Linked DNA regions of Rattus norvegicus. The protein of the gene in region 2 purifies or fractionates together with the protein of the main gene of each other region. This does not show direct contact. Links are inferred from orthologs where the notes say so. Each region holds a gene or a part of one and is shown on either strand. Other genes may lie near its edges.

Region 1 (7,474 bases), on a different chromosome or scaffold from region 2:
CCAAGCTCTGTCATCTTGAGATGTAGCCTGGCCCCTCTGGGCCAAAGCTAGAGAGGCTCTGTGTCTGCTGGTTGCTGAATCTGCAGAACCATTTTCCTAGACAGTGGTTTTCAGCAGGGATGCCCTTCGGCAGCACTCAGCTCAGGCTCTCTCCCGTCTAATAGACCCGACTGTCAGGAGATGGAGCCTTAAACCTGCTCTTCGCCTCAGGAAACTTGAGTTTTCTTTAGCTCCTCCTGCTCTGTTTTGTTGCTCTTTTTAACTGTAACTCCAGAAGGAGGGCAGTGAGGAGTAACCATACCACAGCCTAAATGCTGCCCTGCCTGGACATTTCCTCTGCCAAACAAATGAGACCATCACTTCTGAATTCTGCCTAAGTTCTCAAGATATAAACAGAATAAAGATAGATTCCTTACCAGAATATAACGCCAGCAGTGTTCCTGTTCCTGAGTTAGGCCTCTACTCTCCACATTTCTCTCAGCATTTTCATCTTCCAAATGGAATGGACCACTAAGCTCTATTCATGGTGTAGTTGGGTGTCTCTGGGATGAAGTTCCAGTCTTCCACAAGACTCCCACAAGCCAGTTCCAAAGGCTTCTATAATTTATTACAGCAACTGCCCCACTTCTCAGTATTAATTTTTTTATCAAAGTTACTTCTTTTATTGTTGTCATAAAATACTTAGAAAAAGAACTTACAAGAACATTTATTTTGGCTCAAGGAATGAAGAACAGTCTGGCATGGCAACGAAAAGTATGAGGTAGTCGGTCACACTGTATCACCAATCAATAGGCAGACCACAGACAGGAAGTGGGGCAGGGCTCAAGGACCTTCTATTCCCCAAAGGCCTACTTCCTCCTGCCAGCTTCCACCTCTTAAAAGTTACATGGTTTTCTATGACTAACTGTACTTCATTTGGGGACCGAATATTCTAGCCCATGAACCTATGGGAGACCTTTCTCATTCAAACCATAACATTTATTGGGTCATCTCGATAAGCAAGTCTACATTACTGATAGGAATTATCCTCATGGTTTTTTTCAGAGGCTCTGACTTTATTAATTAGATAGCTTTATATCTACTCTATGAAATGAAGCACCTGTGAATTAGAGGAAAACAGGTAAAAATGTCAAGTCTAGAGATATTCTAGGTCTAGAGATGCCTGTCCTGGCTAGGGAAAGCCACTTCCTGTGACTAAGACTCCAGTCCAATAAATGGAAACCTGAATCAGTGACAGCTAAGGTGACAGCTCTTGCCATGGAGGGGAAGTTAGCTCTTTTAGTTCATCAGGGATGTTAGTTCATCACCATTATAAGAACAAAATTGGGTCAGATTCCCAAGTGTCTCTTCCGAAGGCATGGTCCCATCTTGGGCCATGTCTGCTCTCCCTGCCTGGCCCTCCCTGCTCTCACTGATGTCACCTCTCTTAAGACTGTGACTCTGTGTTAGCTTCTAGGGCCTATCCTGACCAATTTATTTAAAATTCTAACATTCATTACTTCAAATCCACTGTATTTTATTCTAACTTTTCTTCTGTATCACTAACTAACTTCTAACATATTCTATCATTTGTAAATTGTTATTTATCTTTCTTCACTAGCATCTAAGATACCCCAAACTCAGGTGTTTTTGTTTTCCTTCACCAAAAGGCAACAAATGTTTAGAACTGTCCCTGGCAAAAAGCAAGTGCTATGCTATCACATAAATAAATCCAAAGAGCAGGTGTGATTTCACACACGGATGAAACCAGCTAATGGTTCCACAGTTGCTTTATGAGTCCCAAAGCTAAAAGATTTTGCAGCAGTGACATTCATGAGTCTAAGGCATGATCTTCTTGCTAAATTTAGTGTTCTCTGTATTTCCAAGCCTCCTTGTTACCAGTTTAACCTGGGTGTATTTATGATTGTCACGCCAAGAGTGTTTCTACAAGCTTGGGCATCCACTCACCATGAGAAGCTTCTCTGGCCTCCAGGAAGCAGCACCAGGCCTCTGTGTGGATAGCGGAGCGGAGAGAGTAGCACTTCACAGTTACCCAGCTGCGGGTGTTTTAAGGCCATGTAAGTGAGTGGGGAGGAGAAGGCTTAGGCTCAGGATACTTGGGTTGTTCACTGAGAAGGGACCTAGCCCTACTACCAGACAAACAGACATGAAAGGGGAAAAAGCAAAGAGCAAATGAGAAGAACATGTGTCTTAAAGGAGCATCTTTAAGGAGGAGAAACACTGCCTAAGACAAAGACGAAAGAAGCAGATTTATTTTGTCTTTGAAGCCACAGCTCCTTGATCCTTACCAGAAATGGAAAGAGGTTAAAAACAAGAGCTGTGGCTGGAACTGCATGGGAAAACTGGTGTTTTGAAGGTGAAGCTATCAGATCAATAATCAGAATCACCATACACATGAAAATGCAGCTACATATACATATACATGTCTATGTATGTGTATATATGTCACACACACACACACACATATGAAAGACAGCCATTCACAACTTAGCGTAGGTAATCTGAATGATAAACAATAGTAATAATGAAAACTACAGGCTTTGAAAAGTCTGTCAGTGCTTTTGACTAATGATTAAATGGTAACAATTCAAAACCAGTCATATCTCTAACCCTCATGGTTATATATGGCACTAAGTAAGTAAGACCCTTGAATAAAAGTAAAATAACATATACATCTTGGGTCTCTTCATGATTCCACTGGCTGGGTCCACTGGCTGATTAAGATGTTAAATCAGTGAAGCCACCATTTACTAAAAACCAAAAAACTCACTATCTCATGTATATAGCTTATGTCGTGTGCACAGCAATCACAATAAATGATAATATGTAGAGCTTCCGTGAGTACGTTTGTATTTTCACTCCTGCCTCTTCATCCTAAGTACATGTGCACAGTACCAGCCAATCCAAATGTTATACTGTATGAGCTAAAATCTCATCTCTCTCTGCATGGCCAATTGCCCTTTGAAGGCTTCTTCTCATCTGAGGTGCACGGCAGTTCCAGCAAGCCTCTTCAAGGTCTGGATCCAAGCGTCTGCTCATTCTAATATCTATTTTTCAGAAACTTTGCTGCAACGACTATGTCCCAAGTATAATAACCGTTAGCCTTGCCAAAGCAATGTAAACTTACTTCTTCAATACTCTCACCATTAAAGAAAATCACTAGACCTTGGGGAGTGAGATATCATCACTTAAAAGATTAGTTTTAGAAAATTCATAAACCCTTGACCCTCTTAAAAGATAACTGAACAGCACTGGGACGACTTTTGCCAACTCAAAAAAAAAAAAAAGGCTTATGATTTACCAATGCTAGTCTAAATCGTCTGATTCCAAGTTAATTCAAAAGGAAAAAACTGTTTAATTCATGCTAGAACTAAATTATCTTTTTAACCAGCTAGTAGTTCAAGTAGGAAAGCAACCGGAGTACAATTATTACTCATTCAACTTGCATAAATTATTGTTTATCCTGATATAACTGACGAAACGGATGGAACTTGTGAAAACAGTTTCCTGTTACCCTCTCCATTTAGTTTAAGGAGTAAGGGGAGTCCAGTGATGAACTAGGAAGACTGGTCTTGAAACTTCACCACTACAGTTTAAGCCATGATGAGAAACTGACTTTATACCTGGAGCACTTTTAGTTATGACCACTTAGTTATGATATGAATCAGCAACTTTGCTACTGTATTAAACCTCGTGTAAGACCACCAAAACTTGAGAGCATAGGTCCTTTACCTGGTCCTTTATCAGAAGAGATGGGGGAAACTACTAAGGAGATACTTTGAAACTTTGAAGATTTTCAAAGCCTGGCAATTACTCATCAGATTTCTGTTTTCAATGGCATTTTGCAGACAATTTTCATGATTAGCTCCCATTCTGGATGGCCCATCAAATCCTGCTCTAAACAGGCACTTAACGCTTATTAAGCGCCCACTGTGTGCAAGGAGAAAGCATCCTACAAAGCAAAGGGGCATAAGGCTCTGCCTCATTTTATTCGTACATAAATGCACAGCAGTCGTGATTTACTCTCTCAACTTTGCAGAAACGTGAGCTGCATCCACATGGCCGAATCCAGGGCATTCATCTGGTCTTCTTGAAGCAATTCACAGGTAGCCTCATCCAGGCAACCCGCGGCCCTTTTCACCTTCCAAACCCACCGGGGCACTCTAGGGAGTGGCCACACCTTCTGCAGGTGGCTGGGTCTTGAGAGCCAGAAGCACCAGACCCATCTCCCTCCGCAGGGGCAGGGATGAGAGTGCAAACGTGGTGCAAGGACTTACGTGAGGCGCAGGACTTAGAAGGTCTCTGAGTCCCCGGGGACGCAACCCGCCCCGCGGGACGCCCCTCCCCCGCGTCCCCGCGCCCGCGCCGCGCAGGCCCCGCGGGGACCGGCGCACCTCCGGCCTAGCCGCAACGCCGGCGCCGCGACACGCCCGCCCGCCGCCCGCGGGCTCCCCTCCGCTGCCCGGGCCCCGGGGCGCTCGGGCTAGGGATGGGCGCGGCCCGCAGCCGCTAGAACCGCAGCCGCCGCGCCAGGCCGGGCCCCGCGCCCGCGCCGCTCAGAGCACGCAGAGCCCCGCGCCCGCCGCCGCGGCCCCCTCCCGCCGCGCCACACCTAGCAACCGGCGCTGACAGGACGCAGGCGGGGGAGGAAGCGGAATGGCTGCCGCGGCGGCGCCTCCCCGGCTCCCGCCAGCCTGACAGCTCGGGCCGGGCGGAAGCGGCGTGCGGCACCCGCCCCCCGCGGCCCGCGCCCGCCCTCACCCTGCGGCCGGCCATCCCCGCGCCCCGCGGCCCTCCACGCCCGCACCTTATCGGGCGCCCGGCCCGCGCCACCCCGGGGCTCGCCCGCCGCCCGACCCCCGCCCACCCGGGCCTCACCGATGTGGTTGTCCTCGATGTGCTCGATGAGGTCGGCCAGCGTGGGGAAGTGGAGTCCGCAGCCCCCGAAGCGGCAGGTGTTGGAGAAGAAGGAGGCGGCGGCGATGCCTGTCATGGTGCTACATCGAGAGCCCCCCGGAGTCGGCTCTGCGAGCGCCGCGCGCGGAGGCGGAGGGAGGGGCCGGGGAGGGGGCAGGCGCGGGGAGGGCAGCGCGAGCCCGGGACGGAGGAGAGGGGGCGCGAGGTGGAGCGCAGCGCCGAGCCTCCGGGAGGCAGCGGGAGGCGGCGGGAGCTCGGGGAGGGGGCGGGGAGGACTCGGCGGCTGGGAGGAGGGAGCAGGCGCGCGCCTGCAGCTGTGCGGGCCCCAACCTCCGCGACCCAGGCCTCACCTGGCAGCTCCCGCCTCCAACTTTACGTCCCTGGGCCTGCCCTTCGCCGTGTGAGGTGCTTGCAGTCGGCTCGAAGCCTCCCTTGGTTATGTGCACTACATTCTTAATAGATACACATCTATTAATTACACATGGTTTCCCCCAGATGAGCACTCTGGGAGTTACCCGGCCCTCTCGGGGACATTTGTTTGCACTTGGCCACCTGTCTAGGTGTGACAATGGCATTCACTAGGGACCCAGGAAAGGTAATTGTGTGCACCTTGTTCTTTAAACTTTTCTATTTAAAAAAAAATTTTTTTTTAAATTCCTTATTCTCTGGAGGTTAGTAGTAACTAATTGATTTTAATGAAGCTTTCCCCCTAGGCCGGAAGAAAAATCTTAGCTTTATTTAAATTTCAAAATAGAGTGCTTGGTTGACAAGTGCATTTGACTATGTTCTACATATGTATCACGTTTGTTCTCCCTGATTCTTCTGAGAAAACCAAAAATCTCAATTTCTTTACCCCAAATTAGTGCACCTCATGCACCCCTTGCTGTGTGTGGCTCAGGTCTGGCAGTGCTGCTGCCCAGAAGAAAAGGCAAGCACAGTAGTTTGGAAACGAAGTCCAAGCATACTCGATTTTTACTTAAAAATGAAGATTTCACCAATCAATTAGGATTATAGCATCCTGTGAGCATTTAAGCCATAAATTTGACCAATTAACCTCTTAAGAATCTTCTGGTCCCCAACCCCAGTTGCAGTTACATTTTACCTACAAGGTGTATATTTTCTTCCAGGTGTTCAAGGAGCCCTGGAAAATGTGCATGATTTGAGGGTGCATTTTTTTTTAAATCACTCATGCATTCTGAATTTAGCATTTTTCTTTAGAACAATTCCACTTACCTTCTGGTGCATATACCTAGAAAAAATAGCAATCCTGTCTTTTTTAAACTATATATACCACTTGTGTTATTTCTAATATTAAGATTGTTCGGTCACTTCGTGTAAATTTAAATACAGACATATGTAGTATTTCTGTCACCGAGAAAAATTTCACAATCTCCCAGTCATAAAGACTGAGGCTGAGTTCTCCCACCCATTGACATTTTTGTCTGGTCTGTCGCTTCTTCGAGCCTCCAGGGTGACAAATCTGCCGAAGGGAGAGCTGAGTTGAGTGGGGCTGGGGCAGCAGGTCATTAAAGTTCAGTTTGGTGCCAGGAATAATTTCCTGGGTCCAAGTGAGGATGGGGGAAGGGCACCCAAGGATTTGATAATGAGCCAGGGACCTGCTTGGCTGGAAACTGGGACCAGACAGGGGTCTAAAGAGCAGGAGTTAGAATTCTACATCTTGAATTAGAATGTTGGCAACTGTGCAGTGTGCTCAGCTGTCCCGCCAGGGAGGAAGGCCTTTAGCTGAGAGCAGGCAGAATATCTGGCAGATAGACATTGCACCCAGTGACATGGAAATGCAATGGGGAAACTCCAGCCAAGAATGATGCCAGAACAGCCTCCTTAGAGATATGAGGCACCCCAACTCTGCAGCAGCTGGGAGAGTGCCCTGAGACTTGAAGTGACAACTCTGTTCTCTGGAGGAATGACTTTCTATGTGGAATTATCTACTGCAAGGCCAGAAGGGTGTAAGGGAAAGAAGGAAGGAAGGGGGCTAGGTGTTGTTAGTGCATACCTCTTGGCTACCTTCAGCCCCTCCCCCTACTATTACAAAGTGTGCCTGCCAAGTAAAAGCTTGGTCAGCCAAATTAAGCATATTGATTATTTTTAATGTGAAGAACCAAAGTAACTATGAAACGAATTATAATTTTCAAGGAGTTCAAATTATCCATTACATGTTGTGAGAAAAAAAAATCAGTATATCACCACAACTTAGCATAGGGTGACACTTGCTTAGGTGACACCCTGCTCTTTTCATTGGCACACATCTTCCTCTTCTTGGTGGTTTAAAATCATGACCTTCTACATCTTCAAGTCTATTGGTTTTGTATACACACCAAAGCAGTGATAGACAGGTCAAAGACCAAGTAACCACAGACAAACAAATGAAAAGTAAATGCTTTGTAATGAAATGTTTGCTTGTGCCGTACTACATTTTAAAACGTTTGTTGTTGTTCTTTTACATAAAGTCTATGTCTAGGCTATAAAAATCATGTGAACCAAACACCTCATCCTGTTGCTTCCAGGAGACTGGTGCACTTCTGGTTTGAGAGAACAT
Region 2 (7,605 bases):
AGAGAATCAGGTCCAGCAAGATAGCTTACCTTGTTCTAAAAGCCCTACAACCTGAGTTTGATCCAGGAACCACACGGAAAGATATTACTGTTGAAAGACCCCATAGTGGCCATACCTCAGGAGTGCCACTCACAGAGCAGAGATTGACACGCTGCAACAGCATGAGGGTGTAAGTTTTTAATCCATGTACATGGGGTTGCTCATCCACGCAGGGAGAGGCAACCTCGAACCCAAAAAGCACAGGGCAGAGAGCAGACTTCAGCGACAGGGTTAGCTGGCCTTTTCTCATTGGCAGTACACAGGACAAAGGATCTGGTCAGGTATTGGCTGGCCTGCCCAAGGGGCTGTTCTTGGCTCAGTTAGATGCTTTCCTCATCCAGCCCTACACCTGGCCTTGGAGAGTCACTGGGAAAGAGCTAAGTCTTTTGGGGGGGGGGGGGGTGAACTGGGTGTTGGGGAGGGTCAGGATGACATCTTGTGGTTGTTCTTGGAATTTACCACAGGGAGGGGTAGGGGGGTCTTTCCCAGAACAGTTGTTATTGTTTTGTCTTAATCAGCTTAGTCAGAATTGCCTCAATATCTTGATCATCAAAACTTTATCATCTCACAGGGTTCCCTGACGTCAGATGTATCTCTCAGAAGGGTCACAAGTTTGTCATAGGCATCCTGCCCCCCAGATGCATTTCTCAAAACCTTGTTTTCACAGCTTTGCTTTTCACATCTGTGAAGCTTTATTTCTTCATTCCCATACACAGTTCATCAGAGAAATGCATACAAAACAACGTCAAGGATGCCAGGCAGCATTGTTGCACACCTTTATTCCTAGCATTTAGGGAGGAAGGTAGGTGGATCTCTGAGTTTGAGGCCAGCCTGGTCTACACAGTGAGTTCCAGGACAGCCAGGGCTGTACAAAGAAACAAAAAACAAAAACCCAAAACAATAAACAACTCGATGAGATGGCTCCCATTTTTAATTCCAGGTTGGAAGGCTAAAAAGGGGAAATCAGAGATCTAGGCCAGCCTGGACTACCTACCTACCTACCCACACGCGCACACACAAATTCCTCAGCTGATAAAGTCACTTGTCTCCAAGTCTGAAGATCTGACTTTGATCCCTATAAACCCACAAGGTGGAAAATCCTGCAAGCGGTCTTCTGACGCCCGGCCCCACTTACAGTATACATACACACATGCAATCATACAGTAAGCATAAAAGAAAATGAGATGACTTCTAGTATAGCTACTATAAAAATAAAGAAATATAGTGAAGCAAAAAAAGAAACTGGAGAGGATGGGGCTATAGTTAGCAGAGTACCTGCCTAGCATGCATGAAACCAAGGTTTGATGTATACTATGAAAACTGGGACTCAATGTATATGCCAGTAATCACAGTATTTAGGAGGTAAAGGAAACACCAGGAGTTTAAGGTCATCCTAGCTACATAGGGAGTTTGAAACTAGCTTAGCTAAAAGAAATAAAGGTTTGAGCCAGTCACAGTGCTCAGGAGGCAGAGGCAGGAAGATCTGAATATGAGGCCAGCCTGGTCTATCTACATAGTGAGTTCCAGGACAGTCAGAAAAGAAAGGAATGAAGGAAGAGGAAGGAAGGGAGGGAGGGAGGGAGGGAGGGAGGGAGGGAGGGAGGGAGGAAGGAAACAATCACCACCAACAAAGGTCCGAACTTGTCTGGGCCACCCCCCCCCTTTTTTTTTTTTGCTGAGCATGGTGGCACATGTCTTTAATCCTAGCACTTACAAGACAGGGTAGAAGGATCTCTGTGAGTTGGAGGCCAGTCGGATCTACAGAGTGAGACTCTTGCCTTTTAAAAAAATAGATGGTAGAATCTTTACCCAGCATGCACCAAATTCTGAGTTCCACTCCCAGCACCTGTACTCCCCAAAATTTGGAGGGATAAAGAAATGACTCAGGGGTTGAGAGCATATTTTGCTGCTTCCACATAGACTCCAAATCTGTTCTAGAAACCCATGTCAGCCAGATGTTTCATAACTGCCTACAACTCCAGGGGATCTGATGTCCTCTTCTGGCTCCCAAGGGATTCTGCACTGATATGCCCAAATAACCCCAATACACAGATAAACATACTTAATTTTTGAAATAATAAAGAAAATGGTTTGGCAGTTCCTCAAAAAAAAAAAAGAAAGAAAGAAAGAAGGAAAGAAAGAAAGAGAGAAAAAGACCTAGAGCTACCATATGAAGACCTAATTCTGTCCCAAGGTGGCAGTCCAAATGTCAGGTAATGAATATGTAGTTGACTGTCCATAGCCAGGAGATGTGCATTCTTGGATTTCCTCAGCCTGGGACATTACAGCCATGTCCAAAACCAAAAAGCTATCTGTACTTGTACGCCCTAAACCAGTGACTTCAATCTTCCTAAAGCTTCGTCCCCTTTTACAGTTTCTCATGCTGTGGTGACCCCCAATCATAACATTATTTTTGTTGCTACCTCACAATTATAATTTTGCTACCATTATGAATTATAATGTAAATATTTTTCTAGACAGAGGTTTACCAAAGTGTCACCACCCACAGGTTCCTCTGCCCTAAACCATTCACATGCTATTTCATTGCATTAGGTAATATAATCCAGAGATAATCTGGAGTATTCAGGAGGACAGGTGTTGGTTATATGCAAATATGGGATCTTATGTAAAGGAACTGAGCCACCACCATCTTTACCCCTCAAGGGTGCTGGGACTCAGTCTCCATGGGTATGGAAGGGATGGTTGGTTCATGTTTTCATCTGGCCAATACTAGAAAAGTATTCATATGTTACATGTGAATAAACCTTGAAGAGTGGTATGTTAACTGACTAAAAAGCTGGTCCCAGAAGACTACATATTATACCTAAAGGATAGCCAAGTCTAGGAAAAGTAGATTGCTCAGGGAAGAGAGGGAGTGGTAAATGTAGAGACTTTCTTATTTTATGTATATGAGTACACTGTTGCTATCTTCACACACACACCAGAAGAGGGCGTCAGATCCCATCACAAATGGTTGTGAGACACCATGTGGTTTCTGGGAGTTGAACTCAACCTCTGGAAAAGCAACCAATGCTTTTAAACTCTGAGCTATCTATCTAGCCAGACTTAGTTTAAAGATTAAAGAAACTTCTTAAATTGCAGGGACGGCTGCACAAGTTTGTGAAAATAGAAGAAACCACCACTATTTTCCCTGCCAGTAGGCTCATTTTATGCTTTATGATTTGTATTTTGGTAAAGCTGACCTCTACATAAAGCTTAAGGTAACTTAAGGAATACACTGAGGTGAAAAATACTTAGTCCTGGCTAGCCTGATCCCATATGTCTTTAACTCCAGTACTAAGAAGGCAGAGGCAGGCATTCTGAGTTCAGGCTAGCCTGGTCTACAGGATGAATTCTAAGATAACCATGGCCACACAGAGAAAACCTGTTACAAAAACAAACAAAAGAACAAAGAGAAAGATACTCAGCCCAACGGGTCAAGAAAGCAGATATCTGGGGTTGGGGATTTAACTCAGTGGTAGAGCGCTTGCCTAGGAAGCGCAAGGCCCTGGGTTCGGTCCCCAGCTCCGAAAAAAAGAACCAAAAAAAAAAGAAAGCAGATATCTGGGGTTGGGGATTTAGCTCAGTGGTAGAGCGCTTGCCTAGGACGCGCAAGGCCCTGGGTTCGGTCCCCAGCTCCAAAAAAAAAAAAAAAAAAAAAAAAAAGAACCAAAAAAAAAAAAAAGGCAGATATCTTAGATTCCTTACCAGTTCTGATCCCCACTCCTCATAACAGAAGATGCTAAACACAACTTCTCTCGGATGGACCATGGTTCTGTCGGGCCAGTACTCAGCAGCTTGTGCTCTGGAAATAGAGAAAGCTCAGAAACAACCTCCGAACTAGTTCTGAGCCCCAGAACAGCTAAAAGTCTGATATAAACCAACACCCCAGGCAAATTGTGGAGTGGTAATTCTGGTTCTCAGGAAGCAGAAGCAGACAGATTTCTGTGAGGCTAGCCTGGTCTGCATAGTGTGTTCCAGGTCAGCCAGGATCAGTCACACAATAAAACCCTGTCTCAAATAAATCTTAAATTAGTTCGAACAATGTGAACTACTATTATCAATTATAATCACCAAATCTTGAGTTTTCACCATTCCAATGAAATATTACCATTATTGACCAGGGTGCTTTCATTGAATACACATTTATAGAACATTGTGTTTAAATGCCATAGCTTCAAGGTGTTCTGCTTCCAAAAGAAAAAAAAAAAAAAAAAAAGAAACTGGCAGTGTTACGTTAAAATAAGGTTCTCATTAAAAAAAAAAAAGTTTTAAAATTGTTTGAACTCGGGCGTATTTCCCAAGATTCCAATCGGCCACCGGCTCCTACTGCCCACCTCCTTTTTTGCATAAAGTTGTTTACATCTCAGCTCCTCCCCCCAATCGTCGGGTATAAAGAGTTCGTTGGTGAAACTGAAAAAATGGCTGAAATACACGAGATGAGTTTCCCCCGGTGTCAGGAAACGCCTACATCAGCAGATAATCATTTCGACTGCTTCTCACAGCCTGGTTAGATAAACAAATGAGTCGCTGGCCACTTCATACTACCTTTATGTTTTACCCCAGAGAGCGTCTAGCACACAAAGGCTTCCTAGGCTGTTTTTCACCAGCTTCCGATTCCTCCCACCACTGTTAAAACCCCAGGTGGTGGTTCTGAAAGCGACGTGAAAGGCAGGTCTCTGAGTTTTGCGCTCTCTAACAACCCACTCCTTCCGCTCCTTTCGTGCCTGAGAAATGGAATGCCTAGTCTGGACTCTACAAAGGCCTTGACCATAAAAGCTGCTCCGATACTCACTGCCTGTCCCGGTCGCCATTTTGGCTCCGACGTCTTCAACGATTGCGACAGACGCGAGGAACTCTGGGAAAAACTGTATGAGTCCGTTCGCGGTGCCTCGTGGGTAATGTGGGTGGGTCTGTTTCCTAATAGACGCGAAATCCCTCTAGGAAAAATTTTCTTTTTAACTAATAAAGGACAAGCTGAAGCCTCCGAAATGAAACGTCTAGGTTTAGAACTAAGTGAAACGAACCCAATAACGAACACCTTGGAAGTGACAGTTGGTAACCCGGACCCACATTGAAAGCAAACGGTCTTCCGGTCGCCTCTGCTCACTCCCTTTTGCTGATTGGTTCCTTCAGCCTTCGCTTTCTGATTGGTCGGATAAGCTCAGCGCGCATTTTAAAACATTGTATGAGGAACAAAGCTGTTCCTCGTGGGCGGAGTTGTGTTCTCCGTAGCAGGAGTCGTGGGTCTCAGCTGGGTAGAAGCTGGGAATCAGAGAAGCAGCGAAGCAGGCTGTCTTCAGGTGAGTGCAATTGGGATGGAACTCCGGTTATCAGAGTGCAATTGGGGATGGAACTCCGGTTATCAGCTGTTGCTTGCATATCGTAGTCCTCAGAAAGCTCCTAGGTCTTTCATAATTTCCTAGTTCTCGTGGTCTTTGGAGTGAGTACCCTTTGGAAAAGTACCCTTGGGATCTGAAACACACATGCATTGGCAGGCCTGGACAGCCTCTGTGGAGCGTGGCCTTCTGTTCTTCGTGCCTATTCACCTTCAGAAATGCAGCTTCGGGCTGATTTAGTTGTTCTCATTCTCTTCCCCTTGGCTGTAAAGGTGTATAGTCTCGACCAAAGCAAGGACGTCGCTTTTTAACCAGGGGACTGTTTAACCTAAGTTTGCAGTTTTTGTGCGTTAATGTTCTACCCATCTACTCTTGTCTCTTTTTAGACATAGACTGACCCTGCTTGTCATGTCTCACGGGATCCTTTCTCCGCCAGTGGGCTTACTCTCTGATGAGGATGTTGCAGACTCCCCCGTGTTAGAGTCCACAGCTGCAGATCTGAGGTCTGTGGTCCGAAAGGACCTGTTGTCAGATTGCTCTGTCATCTCGGCCTCTCTGGAGGACAAACAGGTAAAGGAGTTCTGTGGCTTAGGAGCAGAAAATGGTATCTTCAGCTTAACAGTTATTTATACAAGGTAGTATGAGATCAAAGGCTAGTAATTCCTGACAGAGGCAGAAAATAGCGCGGATCTCTGTTAGTTCAAGCCCAGCCTGGTTGACCAAGTGAGTTCCAGGACAGCCACGACCACCCAGGGAAGCCCTATCTTGAAAAACCAAGGGGCTGGGGATTTAGCTCAGTGGTAGAGCGCTTGCCTAGGAAGCACAAGGCCCTGGGTTCGGTCCCCAGCTCCGAAAAAAAGAACCAAAAAAAAAAAAATATATATATATATATATATGAATATTATTAGCATATATTCATGAAATATCCCAACTGTAGTTGCACCATGCTTTTTCAGTTGGGAAGAATAATATTATTTCTCTAGTATGCAGGCTATTAATGGTAGGTAATCATACAAGGACGGAAGGTGTGAGGGTGCATGTTCAGTATGTCCTAGGTTCAGATGTTAGCACCACATACAATTATTTGCAGAGAATCATGGTGGCCTTATGTAGGTAGAACGGAATTCCTGTTTCATTAATAATTGTAGCTGCCATTGCCTTAGTCTTTCTGTTGCAGGACCAAAAGTTCTCAGTTATAGCACTGTTGATGTTTGGAGCCAAGAGTTTGTTGCCCTGTACTTGGCAACATGTTTAGTGTTGTTTCTGGCCTCTGTCCACTACATAAAGTACATTTTCACTACTTAGAATTCAGTGTTGGGAACACAGAGACATTCTCTAAGTATCTGCTGAATCAATGGAGTGGCTACCAGTCACCTTCCTTCTTCAGTGAGTCACTCAGAATTTGTTCATGGTCTCCTAACTACTCAGTGATAAAGTCGAGTCTCTGGTTTGTGCATATCCATTATTTATTATTGTTAATTTATGTATGTGTGATGGCGGGTATGCACAAGTGGAAGTCAGGATAACCTTGTAGAGTCAGTTCTCTTCCTTCTTTATGTGGGTTCCTGTGATTGGACTCAAGTTGGCAGGCTTGTTCAGCAAGGTGAGACATCTTACTAACCCAATTTTCATTACCATGCTTTGAAAAAAATTGTATTTATCAGAATTAAAAAGGTGGTCAGGGTCAAGAACCCTTCCTGTTTTTTCAGATGACCCAATTAGCTTCACAACTCCAATGTTAGATGGCTCACAATTGCCTATAACTCCAGACTATTGTATCTAACACCTTCACAAACAAAAGAATAAATGAAAGTTATTTACTTTGAGATAGTATTTGTAAAGGCTGGCTTTAATTTCTGATCCCCCATCTCTACCTACTACTGAGTGCTGAGATTACAAGCTCACACCACCATACCATGCTTGCTACATGTTGATGTTTTCAAACATCAACCCATGCTACCTTAGATCATTGATATAGCAAGCCAGGTTTATAGGGCAGTGTTGAAACAGGGAAGGGCGACAAAGTTCTTGTGAGCTGGAAATGATTGTGGAACCAAAGAATAGCTGCACAGGACCGCTTAGCATGGAATGAGGGAGCCTTAGGATCTAGGCTGTTTGTTCTGGTTTAGAGGTTTAACCCTGGACTCTGTTATAGGCTCCAATGGAGGACACTGCAGAGAAGATGAAAGTTTATCTTCGAATCAGACCGTTCTTAACTTCTGAGCTG
Region 3 (7,332 bases), on a different chromosome or scaffold from region 2:
TTTCTGTGAATCTATTTGCTTCTGAGGTTTCTACCATCTTTTGGTGCCAAAAGAACCCACACACGCCATGACACTAGCTGTTTAAGAGGAAGGACTTCTTGGTTAGGACACTGAAGTCAGGCCTGATAACATAAACCTGTAACATATACAGATAACATGCACTCGAGAGGCTGAGGCAGGAGAATCCCTGCAGTGGGAGGCCAGGCTTCATAGCAAAGCCCTGTTATAACCTACCCTTGTCCCCAGGAAAGGTCAGGGTCCCTGATCAATTCTTTTATCCTACCGGTCTTCTGACAAAGCAACAACTCTTAAAAACTTAATACCGTCTCTTCTCCTCACAGGCACATGCAAGGGAAGAAGCTGCTGCTGATGTCATCAAAGCCAACGATGAGCAGAAACAAAGACCATATACCTTGGTCCCAGAAGACCCACAAGTTCCCTGAACTTGAACCTCCAAAATGGTCAAACTCCCTTCCTCCCAAATACACTTCAATCTCAAAGAAGGAAAAAGCTGAGGAGTCAAAAATACTTTAAATCAGAAAGGACTAGAAGTGGAATAGCACAAACCTGTCTTAAACCTCAGTCAGTATAGTAACTGCAACATGTTGAATTCACAGATGCAGCGAAGGACAGTATATGGAGAAAGGCCTCAGGTTCCTTGACCAACTCAGGAATCCTACGCTGCACATAAACTTTCACTCTTTTCCAGAGAAATTATCCAAACAGAAGTAAAGCAAAAGAAACCTCTTGCATAAAGTAAGTGCCTCACAAACTTATCTTTAAAATACAACCTATGCCCCCTGTCCCACAAAAAAGTACTGGTGAGATTCTGCAATTATCAAGTTTAGCAACTAGTGTTCAGGGTGACTTCCTCTAATGTCTGCTGCTCACTGGAGAGTGCTGTTCCCCTTCCGTGGGCAGCACTCTCCACATCAGTTTCACTTTCGTTAGCCTCCCTCCATACTGATCTGAAGGGCCTGCACTCTTCATGAGGAAGACTCTGTACTGACTGCAGAAACTATGATCATCTTTTCATGTTAGGACCCACAGAACATGTCCCAAATAACTTGGTGTGTGTGTGTGTGTGTGTGTGTGTGTGTGTGTGTGTGTGTGTGTGTGTGTGTGTGTGTGCGCGTGCGTGCTCGCGCTTCTATAGATCAGGTGGAACTCATGGTAATCCTCCTGTCTCAATTATCCTGAGTGCTAGGATTACAAGTGTGAGCTACCACACTTAGTTCCAAATAACTTTTTAAAAGTTTTTCTATAATCTTAAACATCTAGTTGTCCAGAGTCCATTTTTTAAAATGGTTTTCCAAAGATAAAACCTAATAGCTTTCCACATTTTAGAAAAAAAATGTATTATTTATACTAAATTTCAACAAGCAAATGGATATTCACAGGGATAAAGGAAGGAATACGGTTCCCAGACCATTTGTGACAGTTGTACAATGCACTCTGTCTATAATATATACCTGTTTTTTGTCTATGCTATGATAAACTTTACCAGAAAAATCTCAGTAAGTAAGCATACTGAATTAAAACAAAGGGTCTCAAAGGTTCAACCTTCAGCAACAACAAAAATTTCATTGTCCATGTCCCAAAGTGAAAGGAAAAATTCCTAAGCACCTTAACAAAAAAAAAAAAAAAAAAGTTAAAACACGTAGACAAAGTTAAGATCAGCCTTGTAGAAGTAGATTAATTAAACACCCAGAGGGATGTTTTAAAAGGCAGAAAGCCTACAATAACTGCTTATCATAAAGTAAGAAAACATCTCTCACTGAAAGGCAAACCTAATTCCAGTTCAAGAGGAGTCTTGCCCTCTAACCCTGATCAAGCCCTGCGCAGATCTCATAACCAGAGACTCAGAGGGAGGAAGAGTTGGCTTTTGTTGTTGTTTTGGTAGAACAGGCTCAAAGGATAGAACAGGCTCAAAGGAAAACAACCAGGTCCATAGTATTAGACGAATAGTACCCAGGCAGGGTGGTGCACACATTTAATCCCAGCTGATTAAATCCCATTTAATCCGGGAACCTGAGGCTGATGGATCTCTGTGAGTTCCAGGACAAAGCTTAGACTCCTCCCTCTCCCAAAAGAAAAAAAAGGATAACAGCTGAAAAACAAGACACAAAAGGGATTTGACGTTCTATTGACAACTGTGTAAAGCTTCATTAAGAAAACATCTTCAGTGAGAATCTCAGAACAATCCTTAAGACCTCTGAGATAACTGCACTCAGAATCAATCAGTTCCCAACAAATGATGTTTCGGGGGTCTGCACAATCTGATGCCCTAATGAAGAGCAGAAACACTGAGGAGCTGGGTCCTACACTTGAGCTGTCACATCTGCTCCCCAGAAAAAGAGACAGAAGCAGAGAATTCTTGTGCAGAATCTCATGCTGTAGTCCAGGCTGGGACTCACTCTATATCCCAGGTGGGCTTAAAATTCAGGGCAACCCTTCTGCCAAAGCCTCAGAAGCCCTGGGCTTACACACTGGGTCACAACCCAGGACTCTGTGCTGTGTTGGTTTTTGTATTAAGGAATTGCAGAGGCAGGCTCGGATGTTTGATCTTCCTACCTCAACCTTCTGAGTAACTGGGTTTACAGGCCTGAATAATCAAGCCTAGTTACATCCTGCAAACTCTTTACAAGTCCTAAGCAGCTGTTCCACGTATCATTTTAAAGATCAGATAACTGAAGCTAAAGAGACAGCTCAGCGGGTAAAGGCTTTGTAGTCAAACCTGATGACCCTAAATTCAATCCCCAGACCCACGTGCTGAAAAGAGAACTGACTCCCCCAAGTTGTTCTATGATCTTCACATGAGAGCCATGACATATGCATGACCACACACCCACACGCCCACCCACCCACACACACACACACACGTTAAATAAATAAATGTAATTAAAAAGAAAAATCAAGTAGGTTGAGGCTGTAGCTCCATGGCAGAGGGGTTGCAAGGCATCCTTAGGCCCTGGGTTCAATTCCCAGCACAGTCAAAAATTAAATGCATATAAACACACCAGAAAAAGTAATAATCTGTGTTTCTAGCATATTAACATTTCTCATAAAGTTAGAAGTTCCAGGGATATGGCTCAGCCCTGAAGGTAAAAAAAAAGATCTGGCAGCCTGAGCTCACTCTCGGGGAGCAAGCAGCAGAGTTAGGTGGCTACTTCAGAAGGGGTGTGCATCCTTCAGTGCATACACCAGTCCTCACCTTTCCCTCTATCCTTCACGAGCTCATTACCTGGCCCTCACAGGAAAATGCACTCTACACCCCTTTCTTACCACTTCCAATCATCAAATATTACATTTGTTTCTCTTCTCTGATTGGATTTATTCTGAGTCTATTCCTTTTCTCTCTCCCTAATCTATACCCATTTACTCCTAAGCCTCAGACTCCAAACACAAGGGAGCATAGGGTCAACTCAAAGCCAGAAACACCCATAAAAACCATTACTATCACAATCCTAAGAAGTCCCATCCATCACCTTCCAGCGAAGCTATCTCTTACAGTGCCGCTTAGCAATAATTTTTTTTTTCTTCTCAAACGGAAAGTCAGACCACAAAAAGCGGTGACACTCTCAGTATTTAACTTCTGGTGCCTCTCTTTCCCATTGTTGTTGTTGCGAATAAAGCGTTTTTCTATATTCTAGGGGCTGTAGCAGTCTTTGTAGCAGACTTTGGCTAAAGACATTGATCTTTATGCGTGCCTGCGACTTCACACAACTATGGAGACACTGCTTAAAGTTTACCTCCTAAATAAACCTGACCAGTCTGCTCTGAAATAACACTACCATTCACTTCGGAATGCTCTTTCGTTTCTCACACGCCTCGGCTGCATCCTTCACTGAACACTACAGAACTCAGTTCGAAGCACAGGCCTCCTCTCACTCACCTAGCTACCTACCTACTCACTAGAATCTACCACCTGAGAATCCAGAATCATGAGGATTTGCAACGCCCCCCTCCTCCAACCCCAAGTGACTCCACCTCACCTTAGCGGTTAAGAGGAGTTTACAAGACTATTAAAAGTAATAGAACGATCTCTTTTTCTCTCTGACTCCAAAAAGAACGAAAACTGAACGGAAATGAAAATGAAATGGAGAGTAGGAGACGTACCGCAGATTGAAACCTCGGTTGCTCTTCCTGGAATAAGAGAGAAAAAAAAATAGAAAATATAGAAGTTATTTTCGCACTTCGAATTCAATAATAAGAAAGAAAATGCCGGCGGCGGAGGAAGCAGCGGGTGGGTAGTCAGCCTGACACCCCTCCCTCCCTCTTTTCCCTTCCACTCTCTCCAGCGAGAACCCGTAGCCTAGTGGGGGTCCCAGGCGCTGCCCCTCCTTCTGGGATCCGAACCGGACAAGAGGGATCCGGAGCACTGTCTGCTCTTTCCCGATCCCTCTCGGGCGTCAGAGCACTCCCAGCCCCTTCACCCCCAGGATCAACCGGTCACCGGAGGAGGGAGATCATGGACCCAATGAGCAAGAACTGAGCGCTGGTCTCCTTGCCCAGGATCCGGACGGATAATGGGATCTCCAGCCCGGCAGAGTGGAGAGGGAGGCCTCGACACCCTCCTCCACGGGAGAATGTGTGGGTCCCGGAGGCCGCGTGTCTGCTCCCACCTTCAGTCCCAGGAGGCCTCTCCGGACAGGACTGGAGGGGAGCGAGCCTGGAGCGCGACGCAGGCGGTCCCGGCCCCGGGGGAAGAGGACGGAGGCGGCGGCGACCCGGCCCCCCTCCCGCCGTCGCCTGGCTGAGAGCCCTGGCCGCTGTCCCCGCCTGACAACCCGAACGGAAAGGAAGAAGCCCCGGGACTCACGTCGCTCTCCACCTCGATGTCATCGTTATCGCTCATTTCCTACGGCCCAGGGAGCGGCCACTGCAGCGGCGGCCGGGGAGGGGAGGGGTGGAGGGAAGGGGGAAGTCACCGACAACAACAAGCCGAGTGCCCCCACGCACACACTCACTCACTCACTCGCTCACTCACTCACACACTCACACACACACAACACGGGCGACAACCACCTCACTGTAGCACCGGATCAACGGCGGCACGCACGCCCGATCGGCCCCCTAACACGTGACCGGGCTCACCGCGCCGGGGTAGCTGAGACTTGTAGTCCTCGAGCGTCTGATGGGCGAGTGGGAGAGAGCCAGAGAAACTACAAATCCCATCAGGAACCGCACACAGTCTTCGTCAGACCCGCTTGTTGACAGAGCGCAGAGCGCCTGCGCCCCGGGTGTTGGCTGCGAGAAGTGGCGCGGTGCTTCCCGGGAGATGTAGTCCATAGACCGCGAGTTGTCAGGAGATTTTCCTCCCCAGGCGGCGGAGAGGCTGCTGGGAAGACAGGACACGTGGAGGGAGCTGGGCTCCTGGAGCCGGCCACAATTCTGAGCTCTGGGCGCCCGGCCCAAGGGATTGGGTGGAGGCTCTGGGGGAGAAACTGGCTGCCAAAATAACACTGTCTCTTCTTGGCTAGACTGCTTTTACATTGTCTTGTTTAATGCTTGAGTCGCTCCACTTGCGCCCTGGGGCGTAACCTACGGGGCAGGAATCACGCTGCGGCTGACCAGGGGGCGCGGTCCAGACGCCCACGCGGACCCTCTGAATCTGATTTTAAAGTATTAAGAGGCATTACGAGACAAGCTAAAGGACCGACTTCACAGGGGTGTCCTTGTCTCAAGAGTCTTGCTTTCATTTGTCGTAGAGAACTGTCCTTACTGGGCTTGAATGTTTACAAAACCTCTCGAAGGTGCAAGTAAAACCTACCTTATGTTTGTCGTAGCCAGAGCAGATTAGGGAGTGCCCCCGTTTAGAGAACTCTAATTAACTGCAAACAGAATCAAAACGGGAAAGTTGTGCAGCTTCCTGTCCAGTTAAGGTGATACTCACACAACTAGGTATGAAGTTTAACTACATTCATCCCGCCAATATTTAACTATCTAATAATGTGGCAGGCCAGGAATGGCATGTGTCCCCTCAAAGACTTCACAGCTGTGGAAGCAGAAAACCGGACGACGCTGTCACCTTTTTTAGTGTGAGCCAGGTCCTCGATGAAACAACAAACAAACAACCCAGTAATAATACACTTTCGTCTTCTGAGAAATTTTATAACTGATCTTCAAAGTGAGTGGTCTTGAGTTTGATCCATGAGTTACTGGTTGGTTTGTTGTTGTTGTTTTTGAGTAAAAAAAATCATTAAGTTCCTGACTGTTGAGTACAGAAACTTGGTGGTGTATACAATCTTTGTGACTCCTAGCCCAGGCTGGCCTTAAAATGGGTGTGTGGCCAAGCCTAGTGTTGAGAACACAGTCATAAGCAGACACTGACCCGTAATAGAAGTCAAGGTCTGTAAGGGAGACAAAGACAGTAAGAGTTAACTGGATACCAGAAGTAGAGACAATGGGTGATCACAGCAAACCATCCTTGTATACCTCCCTGCAGTGTGCAGAGTATTACCAGACATCTTTAGCTGCAAGTTAGTTTATTCAGAGACTTTAAAAAAATATCCTAGCAACCACAAGGCCCTGGGTTCGGTCCCCAGCTCCGAAAAAAAAAAAAAAAAAGAAAGAAAAACCCTCATGCCTGCTCCATGCCCCTGCTCAGTTAAGGCAAAACCTTTGGGAGGGAGTAGGACCAATGAAAGACAGTTCTTCATGGTCTTCAGGTGATTCGTATGTGAAACCTGGAAGATGCCAAGGCAAAGACGAGCTTTCACTGAATTATATTCTTTCAAGGAGTGGGCTTTATGATATATTAATAATTATATGTCAACAAATCTGTTATAAAGATAATCTTTGCTCACATGGCTACAATCTAACGAGGGAGTAAATTCTAAAATCACTGTAGGGAAGGTAGACACGTCAAGCAGACTGTATGACAGCAAGCAATATGAATTTAGAGGAGAGTGCCAGATTTCGGGGAGGGCGGGAAGTAAGGGCCAGGTGTCCCCTAGACTTCCAGGACAAGGGCTAGGCCTATGAAGAGCCAACCAAATTCAGCTCACCATGCATCTCCACGTGTTGGAAGGACATCTGGACAAATGGAGAAAAGGCTTTCCAGGAGGAGAGACCACGGTTGCTAACACATCTCTTCCTGATAATATTTTTCTTGAGGGGGAGGGGCAGTAAACGCTGGGTCTCAGCGCCTAGAACTCACTTTAAACCCTCCAACTCTCAATAATTTTCCTGCCTCAGGTAAGGCCTGGAATTACTGGCGTGTGCTACCCAAGTTCAGCTTTCTTAGAGTAATTGACGAGACTATTCAAATCTGTCAGTCTGGCCAGTACCTCTGATCTAATAGACAAAAAAAGAAAAAAGAAAAGAAAT

What was found. Proteins that work in one complex are often made in the same cells at the same time.
Region 1: the proteins of Brd8 (region 2) and Jazf1 purify together in Homo sapiens (affinity purification with mass spectrometry; 3 studies listed by BioGRID and IntAct, with this or other methods). This does not show direct contact. The link is inferred for Rattus norvegicus from reciprocal best matches to the Homo sapiens genes BRD8 and JAZF1.
Region 3: the proteins of Brd8 (region 2) and Max purify together in Homo sapiens (affinity purification with mass spectrometry; 3 studies listed by BioGRID, with this or other methods). This does not show direct contact. The link is inferred for Rattus norvegicus from reciprocal best matches to the Homo sapiens genes BRD8 and MAX.

Annotation. Positions count from the first base shown.
Region 1 is NC_086022.1:83,508,592-83,516,065, forward strand, and holds the start of Jazf1 (juxtaposed with another zinc finger protein 1), read right to left. Parts: upstream 5,054-7,474; 5' UTR 4,994-5,053; coding exon 4,879-4,993; intron 4,362-4,878; exon of another isoform or gene 4,278-4,361; intron 1-4,277. UniProt on the Homo sapiens protein: Acts as a transcriptional corepressor of orphan nuclear receptor NR2C2. Inhibits expression of the gluconeogenesis enzyme PCK2 through inhibition of NR2C2 activity.
Region 2 is NC_086036.1:26,499,136-26,506,740, forward strand, and holds the start of Brd8 (bromodomain-containing protein 8), read right to left. Parts: upstream 4,872-7,605; 5' UTR 4,854-4,871; coding exon 4,835-4,853; intron 3,845-4,834; coding exon 3,748-3,844; intron 921-3,747; exon of another isoform or gene 290-920; coding exon of another isoform or gene 30-289; intron 1-29. Other genes in the region: kinesin-like protein KIF20A, read left to right, coding at 5,787-5,948, 7,534-7,605. UniProt on the Homo sapiens protein: May act as a coactivator during transcriptional activation by hormone-activated nuclear receptors (NR). Isoform 2 stimulates transcriptional activation by AR/DHTR, ESR1/NR3A1, RXRA/NR2B1 and THRB/ERBA2.
Region 3 is NC_086024.1:101,390,238-101,397,569, forward strand, and holds the start of Max (protein max), read right to left. Parts: upstream 5,054-7,332; 5' UTR 4,859-5,053; coding exon 4,823-4,858; intron 4,765-4,822; exon of another isoform or gene 4,626-4,764; intron 4,147-4,625; coding exon 4,120-4,146; intron 1-4,119. UniProt on the Homo sapiens protein: Transcription regulator. Forms a sequence-specific DNA-binding protein complex with MYC or MAD which recognizes the core sequence 5'-CAC[GA]TG-3'. The MYC:MAX complex is a transcriptional activator, whereas the MAD:MAX complex is a repressor.